2 linked regions of the Daphnia pulex genome follow. The main gene of each other region encodes a partner of the protein of the gene in region 2 in a complex. Links are inferred from orthologs where the notes say so. Each region holds a gene or a part of one and is shown on either strand. Other genes may lie near its edges.

Evidence for each region.
Region 1: nuclear pore complex protein Nup205-like (region 2) and nuclear pore complex protein Nup54-like share a complex: the UniProt entries of both Drosophila melanogaster proteins name them as parts of the nuclear pore complex. The link is inferred for Daphnia pulex from reciprocal best matches to the Drosophila melanogaster genes Nup205 and Nup54.

The regions. Positions count from the first base shown.
Region 1 is NC_060022.1:6,652,514-6,656,943, forward strand, and holds the start of nuclear pore complex protein Nup54-like, read right to left. Parts: upstream 2,927-4,430; 5' UTR 2,756-2,926; coding exon 2,698-2,755; intron 2,390-2,697; coding exon 1,958-2,389; intron 1,900-1,957; coding exon 1,627-1,899; intron 1,549-1,626; coding exon 1,398-1,548; intron 1,338-1,397; coding exon 905-1,337; intron 835-904; coding exon 571-834; intron 504-570; coding exon 387-503; intron 314-386; coding exon 215-313; 3' UTR 1-214. UniProt on the Drosophila melanogaster protein: Component of the nuclear pore complex (NPC), a complex required for the trafficking across the nuclear envelope. Essential for the nuclear import of nuclear localization signal (NLS)-containing proteins in an importin alpha/importin beta-dependent manner.
Region 2 is NC_060022.1:5,062,818-5,067,404, forward strand, and holds the start of nuclear pore complex protein Nup205-like, read right to left. Parts: upstream 3,099-4,587; 5' UTR 2,919-3,098; coding exon 2,784-2,918; intron 2,726-2,783; coding exon 2,253-2,725; intron 2,193-2,252; coding exon 1,422-2,192; intron 1,363-1,421; coding exon 935-1,362; intron 877-934; coding exon 727-876; intron 657-726; coding exon 433-656; intron 371-432; coding exon 274-370; intron 212-273; coding exon 6-211; intron 1-5. UniProt on the Drosophila melanogaster protein: Plays a role in the nuclear pore complex (NPC) assembly and maintenance, but with limited role in NPC permeability. Required for specific nuclear import pathways such as Mad import.

The sequences.
Region 1 (4,430 bases), about 1.6 Mb from region 2:
ATTGTAACACGCTATATTATCTAATAAACGAGTACGAGTACGAGAAATTGGCTAATATTCTTACGAAAGTAAAAAATCAAATACGATCTACTAATTTTCAATTATGATATGAATCTAAAGATTTTTTTTTAATGAAATTTTTTTTCCGTGTATTAGACCCTTGAAAACAGTAAAATTCGTACTTAGTTGATGAAGAATATTTTCGGTCGCTATTTTAGTGTTTCAAAGCATTATCTAAAACAAGCAAATCATTAAAATCTTCTTTCAATACATTCATTAACTGAGCCATTCCTTCTTGCTGTGACTTAAGGACCTATAGGAACGAGATCATTCAAAATGAGACAAAGCTAACAAATTAACTTTAAAAATTGTGACAACTTCCTTACTTGTTTCAGATCATCCAAAACATTTGGTTCAATGTTGTACCTCTCAGTCATTCGTTCCGCTGGCGTAAAGGCAGATTGGCGCATTCTTATTTGCGAAAGCAATTCGTTTAAGCGACCCTGATGTTGACAGTGTAAAACATTATTCTATAAACTTAACATTTAATTAGAAAAATATATATGTTACTCGAAATTGCGTAGGGATGCTTAGTTCATTGTGCACAGACTCTAGCTGCACCCGCAAACGTTCCTCTTCTGGCTGTAGAGCAAAACCTTCTTTCCGAGAACATTCTTGCTTTATAAGAACTTTGAGGATTCGATGTTGCAAGTCGATGTATCGTCGTCGCTGTTCACTTAGCGCAACCGATGTTTCTGATGCACGAGATTGCAGGCTTGCTAATTCCTCAGCTAACTTGTCCAGGGTTCCTTGGTGTCGTCGAGTCTCTTTCTCCTGCAATGATTTATTTTTTTCAACTCAACTATTTGCGTAGTGTGAATAAGTTAAATATAGAAATGCGAACCTGTAGGTGTAAATGACGAACAAGGTCACCAAATCCGATCAGTGGTATGGGTATGAAGTTATCGTGATCAGGATTTTCTGATTGAGCTTGTTTCCAAATGCGAGCGTCAATCCCAGCTGGAGGCGATGCTAGATATTCGCGCAATTGTTCGGGTGATGGTCGGACTCTAGGAACACACGAAACGACTCCAAGTGCGCTGAGCTGACCACGAGCCGACTGCATCATCCCAGATGGTTGTTGATTCCAAAGGAAGTTAGACAATTCAATGGCAGGCACTTTATGAATTGCGCCAGTTGCTGAGCGTTCTTGAACACAAATCAAAACCTCTGTCTTATTTGTGTCTAGGCCAGACACGCCCTCGACGGACACATTCAGATTGGGTTTATTGCCCAGCGCCGTAGTTATCACACTGACTAACTGAGCTTGGTCTCGCCTGCAAATTGAATCCATAAATAAATCTATATGCAATTACGGTTTTTATAATTTTATCTACCGAATATCTGTTTCGGGTTTGTTAAACAGCAAAACAATTATTCCATCTTCATTCTTTCCTTGTGGTAGTTTGCTGTAGCCAATGGCTTTAAAGCGACACAATGAATTCTCTGCAGTATATTGGATAGCACTAGCCGTGCCAGAGTAAAATCCTAGACACCAATAACAATGTGAGTAAAATGAAGACATTCTAATATTTAAATTGAACCGCAATTAAGGTGGAGTCAAACCTTTTCCGGTTCCCCAAGCTGCTTGAAGGAGATTCCAACGAGCCAAGATTGCATCGCGCTCATCACCGTAAATGTTACAGTAAAGTACGGATGAGAGAACAGATTCGACAACAGTACCGGCTTGCTGAGCAGGAGCAAACGTTTGTTGTTGTTGTTGACCAAACAGGCCTGTTGTTGGGGCTGTACTTCCAAATGTAGTTCCCAAAGAAAAGCTACTAGAAGCTGGTGTTGTTATCCCGGTTCCTCCCAGAGATGTTCCAAAAGATCCAAATCCTAATACAGAAAAGTAGTCAAATAATTCGTTCCAAGTCATTCCATAAAAAAATATTACCTGTTCCAGAAAAAAGTCCGGACGACGATGAGACAGCAGGGGCTCCAGTGCCAAAACCGAATCCAGCGTTGCTTGTCTGTGGCTGCCCAAAGCTGAATGATGGAGCTCCACCAGTATTAGTTCCACCGAATCCGAAAGCAGGTGTAGTGGTATTTGTTTGTGTTGCACCAAATCCAAACGATGGAGCAGCTGTGCTAGTTTGGGTGGTACCAAATCCAAACGCTGGAGCACCTGAAGTAGGTTGGGTACTGCCAAAACCAAAAGAAGGTACTGTTGCAGTGGTGTTAGTTTGTTGAGAGCCAAATCCTGATGTTGAAGCAGAATTTTGAGGAGTTCCAAATGAAAAGGACTGATTTGCTGTGCTAACTTGCTGCACACCAAAGCCTCCAAATGGAGTAGTACCAGTCTGACCAGTACCTCCAAACAGCCCTCCTAGAAGTGAAAATGAGTCAAATGCATTGCAACACATAAGTTTAATTCTATAAAATTTTATTTGTTATCTCCTATTTCTATGATAAAATAATGAACAATTCTCAATCAGTGTTGTGCTTGAACAAAAATGATTGCAGCATTTGGTTGGACTAGAAAATGTAATCTCAAGAAAAACTAATAAACAGAAAATAAATGAAAAAGCCATGCATTGTAGCATGTTCAACAACGAAGGCAAAATGATTTCACTTAGATAATTATCATTCAAATATATAGTAATGCTGGAGTTGACACTAGTTTGTGTGTATTACCTGTGTTGGATGTAGTAGACTGGGCTGGTTGGAAAAGACTTCCACTAGAAAATGCCATTTCAAGAATAAGTTATCCTTACTTTCTTGTATAAATCTTATTTGGTATCTGTCTAATTGGTAAAAAAGTCGACAAGCCGATTTTCAATGATATCGTTAGCGTTCACGTTCAAAACTTGAAACTACATTTTTTCTGTGGAAGTAGCGAGAAGAAAGGAGGTATATGCCATCTAGCGGTTAACGATGAAGAACCAATCCTTTAACTTTGGCGGAAGACAGAAAAGCGAAAGTCCACCGCAAATATTTCTATTCCGTTCAACCGAAGAAATTTAAATCAACCTCGTCATTCCCGAAGGTCGTCCATTCTCTCCCCTTTTACACGCAAAAAATTAACACAAGAAATTGATCAGAAAACAAGTTTATTAATGATGATTTAACCAAGACAATTTGCATTACATTCCAATCAATTATTCCAATTTAAGAATGAGTGACGGTTGACAAACGAAATTAAACTGGACGGCAGGTCGTCGAATGGGATTCCATGACGGCTCACGACTTGGGCAGCTAAACATGTGAGGGGCCGCACTTTATGAATCAGTCTTTGAAGGGGGCCGTTCACATATGACGTCACGGGCCGAGGGGGGGGAGGGGGGTGCACCTTGTATGACGAATTGTGACGAGGGGGGGTAGGGGGGGTATTCACAGTGGGACGTCACAAGGCACTACACAAGCGCCACCAAGTGGGATATGTTGGCAACTTCCTAAATTTCTTTTAGTTTTTTGGATCGTTAGAGCAAAGCACCTCGTTTGCTTGACCAATTAAGAAAATAATGAACAACATTGTGTTCTGTATTAAAAACTACAGAAAATACAGAAAATAAAGAATTTTTAGGGGCTCAAACAATTTTTAAAAAGGGAGGGGGGTATCTGACTTTGTGACGTCATATTAGAGGGGGGGTATACCTACTGTGATGAATTGTGACAAAGGGGGGAGGGGGGGGGGTGTAAAATCGTCAAAAAGTCCGTGACGTCATATGTGAACGGCCCCAAGGTAAACATTTGAGATCCCGTTTTCAGCCAGTTCTTTTTCCTTTAGTTTAAAGAGGTCCAAAGGTGTTATGCCCACATCATCGGGCTGGTCGATATGAGCATCCGAGTCCAACAACTGTAACTGGATGGCGTCTATGGTGTTGATCGACCAGCGCTCCCATTCAATACTGGCCAGCACGTGAAGGGCCGTCATTCCGTTGGACGAGGTGGCACTTGGGTCGACTCCGAGTTCCAGTAACAATTTCATGACGTTTAGGGGAAAGAGTTTCGTTATAATTGTGTAGGAGCAGCAGGCAAGATGGAGGAGATTGCCCTTTTCGACTATTTTAAATCTGTAGTCGTCTCCAATGAAATTGTAGAGAGTCCGCTTGAATCGGTGAAGTTCTTGTTCATTCAGTGTTGGAAGGAGTTCAGTCAAAATGTCGATCTGGTCGATAATCAACCATTCGACTCCACCAGTCCATTCGTTTCCGATATAGTAGTCCAGCTTCACATGATGTTCCAAGGAATATTCCATTACGGTCATAATATTGGCGAAGGTGAACTCTTCTCTGTCGGAGCTCGGCAGGTCCATGAGCTCGATGAAACTTCCAACCATGATTTTAATTACTTTGGTGATCATACTGTTGACAAATGGATCGTCCCATTCTTTTTCGAGTCCTTGGAACTGACCCATCATGTACATG
Region 2 (4,587 bases):
TTTACCTGAAGTTGCAGTACGCGCTTTAATAACAAGAGAACATTAAGCGTTAGTGTTTCCAACTCTTCAATTCCTGGCGTGGGTGTGTAAAGATCCAAGACACGACAGCCTTCGTCCACCACATGAAGCAGGAGGCGCAAAAAGTTGGAGTCGTGCAGACATTGCACCAAAAGATGATACCCTGGTGGTTTGCACCGAATGGCATTGCCGCCTACCAGGAAAAAAAAAGCAAGCATTAAGAACAAGTTTTCTTAAAACTTAATTATGATTTACCAGACGGTAATTCAATGTAGGAGTCCTGAAAATCATCCACACTGGGTTCGTAATTCGAGAGCAATTTTAAAAATAGCTTTACACAGGCATTTCCAATCTACAAAACGAAGTCAATGTTAAGACTTTGTTTTACAACTTTTTAAACCTAAACGAACAAACCTGCCATTTTTCCGTTTCATTGCGGTACGCCCTACCACTAAATTTCAGGAAAACGGAATCTTTAACGTAGAATAAGTAGGGATCAAATCCAGGCGTTCTATGTCCAGTTCCCAAGTTGGTTGGGATGGATATATCAGTCATCACGTCCAGTAATTTAAGAAAGGCTCTTGTGAGGGGGTATTCTTCAGCTCGAGACTCAACATCTTCCAATTCCGTGTGGAGACCTAATATTCAACCCTTTTTTTGTTTTTTACTGGGCAGGAAATTAATATAGAATTATCTTCATGCACAAACCTTTGACATTTGTTGAAACTATGCTTGTAGTTGACAAAATCTGAGCTATTTCAATGCTGTTCCACAGTGTATATGCGATGTCAGGTGACTGGGCGAAAGCTGCAAGAACCTCCATGATCTCTCCCTTCAAACTCAATGGCACAGCACAGCCTACAATTTAGAAGATGTATTTTTCGGGTTCATTCGATAGCTATTTGCTTTTACTTACCTAAGAGTCCGATCATCACGACTAATGGTATCCATGTTGGATTCTCGGCCAAAGATATCCTGGCAACAGGGTCATGTTGGAGAACGATTCGCATTAACTTCAAAACGACCTGCAATCCCTGAACCTCCTGTGGTGTAATGCCTTTTGTGAGGGGCTTGTGGCGGTAGATGGTGTCCGGTACAGGGAGCGACTCTTGGCGCAAACTGTTAAAATATCTGTGGAGTGATGAGAAAAAGTGTTCCCAAGAGATCAAATTGCTTTGACCGCCGTTGCTGTTTTGTTTCAGAAGGGTAAAGGCTTGGTGAGCTGCCCTCTTTCCATTTGCCAATCCGCAAAGCATGCTGGCATAAGAAATGTAGAGAGAAGGCGGTAGCAAATCCCCGGCCAAACGAATAAACTTATATAGGGCCATTTGTCGCTGAGAGACTCTGCATTAAAAAGGCGATAAGTTTTTATTTTTATTTCAAAATAAACAATAACCATATACCTGTAGTTTACTCCAGCATTGGCCATGTCACTAGACCAAAATTCAAGACACAGTTCCAGCTCTAGAGGATCCTCTCCGTACAGAACGGCGATAAAGTTAAGCAACCATTGAAAATCCAGCGGCAGGTTTGAAGGTGGCTCAAGGCCCTCTTGCTGATAGACAAAGATGTTACGTGCAACTTCATCGGCCTTATTACGAAGATCTTTGATTTTCAGGGGCATTTGAACAATTAGATCCGTCACAAGTGAATGTAATCGCCGTAAGTAAAACTCCTCTTTGTAGATATGATTTTTGGTTTGTAGTAGATGACTGAGAAAATTCAAAGCTTTTCCCTCTAACGCGACGTCTAGGATGGCTTCGTCTTCGTCAACCTGCATTTGAATTGGAGCGCAAAGTCCAGATGAAAGCGAACGGAAAGTAGCCAAAGTCACTGCCCAGGCAAGTTGAACTGAAGCTTGAAGGCCAATGTTCTTCCAAGGAAGTGGTTCTGTCAGACGCTTTTGAATAGTCGCAACAAATGCACTTTCCGAAGTGATGGGTAACAACCGGACGACGTCTTCACTTTCTTCAGTTCTAACGATACCGCTGATATCAATAGCATACAAAAGAGCCATGAAAAGAGTGACGTTGACGTTATCGACTTGTTCGACAGATGAAAGGTAATTCACTAGCAGCAGTGTATCGTCCCTACACAGTCCATTTTGAGCAGCCAAACAAAATACAATGTCCGCTAACGACTGCCTTATTTCAGTGAAGAAATCATGAACTTGTCTAAAATAAAAAACACAAAAAATTAAAAGAAAGAAATATTAATCTTAATTGTAAACAAACCTTCTGTGTTTTGGTCCACCGAGAGCTCGGTTTTCGTGGAGCAAATTGATTTCCTTTTCAAGGTTCAGTTGACTTAACAGGGCTATGATTTGATCTACCAAACCTTTTTTCACCAATTTAACGGTGTACTCTGTTATTAAGTCAACAACTTGTTCGCTGGTGTCTACAGCCCATGAAATTCCTTTCCTTGCTTGGATGAGAATTTTTAATGAATTGACAATGGCACGTCTAGCATCATAGTACAGCAGTACTGAAATCAAACCCCTGGTTAATTCTGGATAGTAATGCATTTGCTGTTCTGCTGTGTGTAAAAGTTCAACAGCAACATTTTCGTTTAGATTAAACATATCAGAGATAATGAGTGCTTCATCCACAAACGATTGTTCAAGTGAAGCAGTCGTCTTTCTTCCAGGGAAAAGAACAGGTTCTTTGACAGATTTTAGGAGAAGGTTTCTGTCATCGAGATTTTTTGCCTGAAAATGAATTTGACTTGAGCTTAGAACACAGATTTAATCTGATTCATGAAATTACCGGCTGTTTAAGAAGGGCAGAGAAATCTGAACGGTGATTTTTCAATGCTTTCTCCAGATTGTCTAGGCTGTTGCATTGCTGGTTATTAATTGTGTCTTCAACCAGACTGTGGAGGTCCTTAGACTTGGTCCACATCTTTTGATTTTAAAACTTGTGACAGTTCAACCAAAAGTAAAGCTTATTTCACTAAAAAAACCTAATAACCACAAGGGCAAAAGCTGAACGTATTCGAAACTTGGACTTCGAATTCGTCTGTGGGGAATTGTCGTGTGATAATTTTTCGTACCGGTAGTCGGTAGATGATGCCAACGCCACCTACCATCACAGCGCCATCTATTCAAAGTAAATTCCCGCCAGTAAGAAAATTGAAACAATTGCGTTGAAATTGAAACACGATTACCGCCAAAAACCCATTTATCTATCTATTCAATATTCGTCCATGGATTTATTGTTTTCTCAAAATAGGGTGTGGATATTTGAAAAATAAAGTAAAAACGAATCAGCTTATTTTAAGAATGATCAGACGGTTTGTAATCAAAAGAGTAACAAGTAATATTTACAAATGAACTGCAAATTATCCTGTACACATTATCTTGTCCACAACAGTCACGTATAACACGCACAAGAAAAAAGATTGAAAAAAAAGACCGACCACACACGAAAATGAAAAATAATAATTAATCGACAAGCACAAAAAAGTTGTTCCCTTTTATCATTATACAAAAAAGCAATGCTCTCAGCTGCTTTTTTTTGTTGTGGAGGAGTGGTGGTGGAGTTGGAGCAGAAGGAAATACGGGAAAAGTTCAGTTTCGCTCGAGAAAACATTATAAAGATGACATCGCTTTTTTTTCAGAATTTAATGACGCCCAATTTGGGAGACCGAGTCCAACGCGTCATCTCGATACAAAATAGAATAATAGCACTGAGAATTTGTTTTTTTTTTGTTGTTTTCACCTGTACAAATTACACTAATGTCATCCAACTGACTTGATAATACAGACGCACACTTACGAAGACACGATGCGCTGTGCCACAAGTTGCCATAGACGAACACTCACACTCACTCACACATACAAAGTCGATTCTAGCAGAATTTTTCTTATAAGATAATTTTTACTTTTTAAAAAATTTTCAGTGTTCAAACAAGGTAAATGAGGAAAATATGAAGGAAGATCAGGGCGAGAATAGAGGTTTTTTTCCTTTCAATGACACGCATTCACGCACACACAAAAAAGAACTGTTGACGGTTTGATTGTGGCAAAAAATTCAAAAAAAAAAAAAAGAAACACAATAATCATAAGAGTTGGGTAGGTTGAAGTGAGGAGACGGACGTTTAGGAACGGTGGTGTCCACCTATTTGGGTATGTTTTCCTTGTTACATTTATTTACAGGATTCGCATATTGGGGCTCAAAATAAAGAAATGAAATCCAATCGTCAATCGCACTGCGAAGAGAGAAAAAGATATAAGGGAGGGGAGGAAATCGTAGGATTGAGCATTTTAATTTTTTTTATTTCAAAACCTCCCAAGTTTTTATTTCCTCAAATTCGAAGAACGGTGGTTTTGTTTATCGCCAGTCGTTGCCTCCTAGACGCTTTCACCATATGTATATCTTTATAAGGTCAAAAAACACATCCAATCTTTGATGCTCTCCATAACTCGTCGTTGTGGAGTCTACTTTCTAGACTGATTTGAGATCCTGAAAAAAAAATGTCGTTCGTGATCCACAGAAAAACACCTCTTTGCCGCTTGTGTGTGCCCCGTAAAGATTTTACATGCATGTGTGATGGGAATTTGTCCACTTT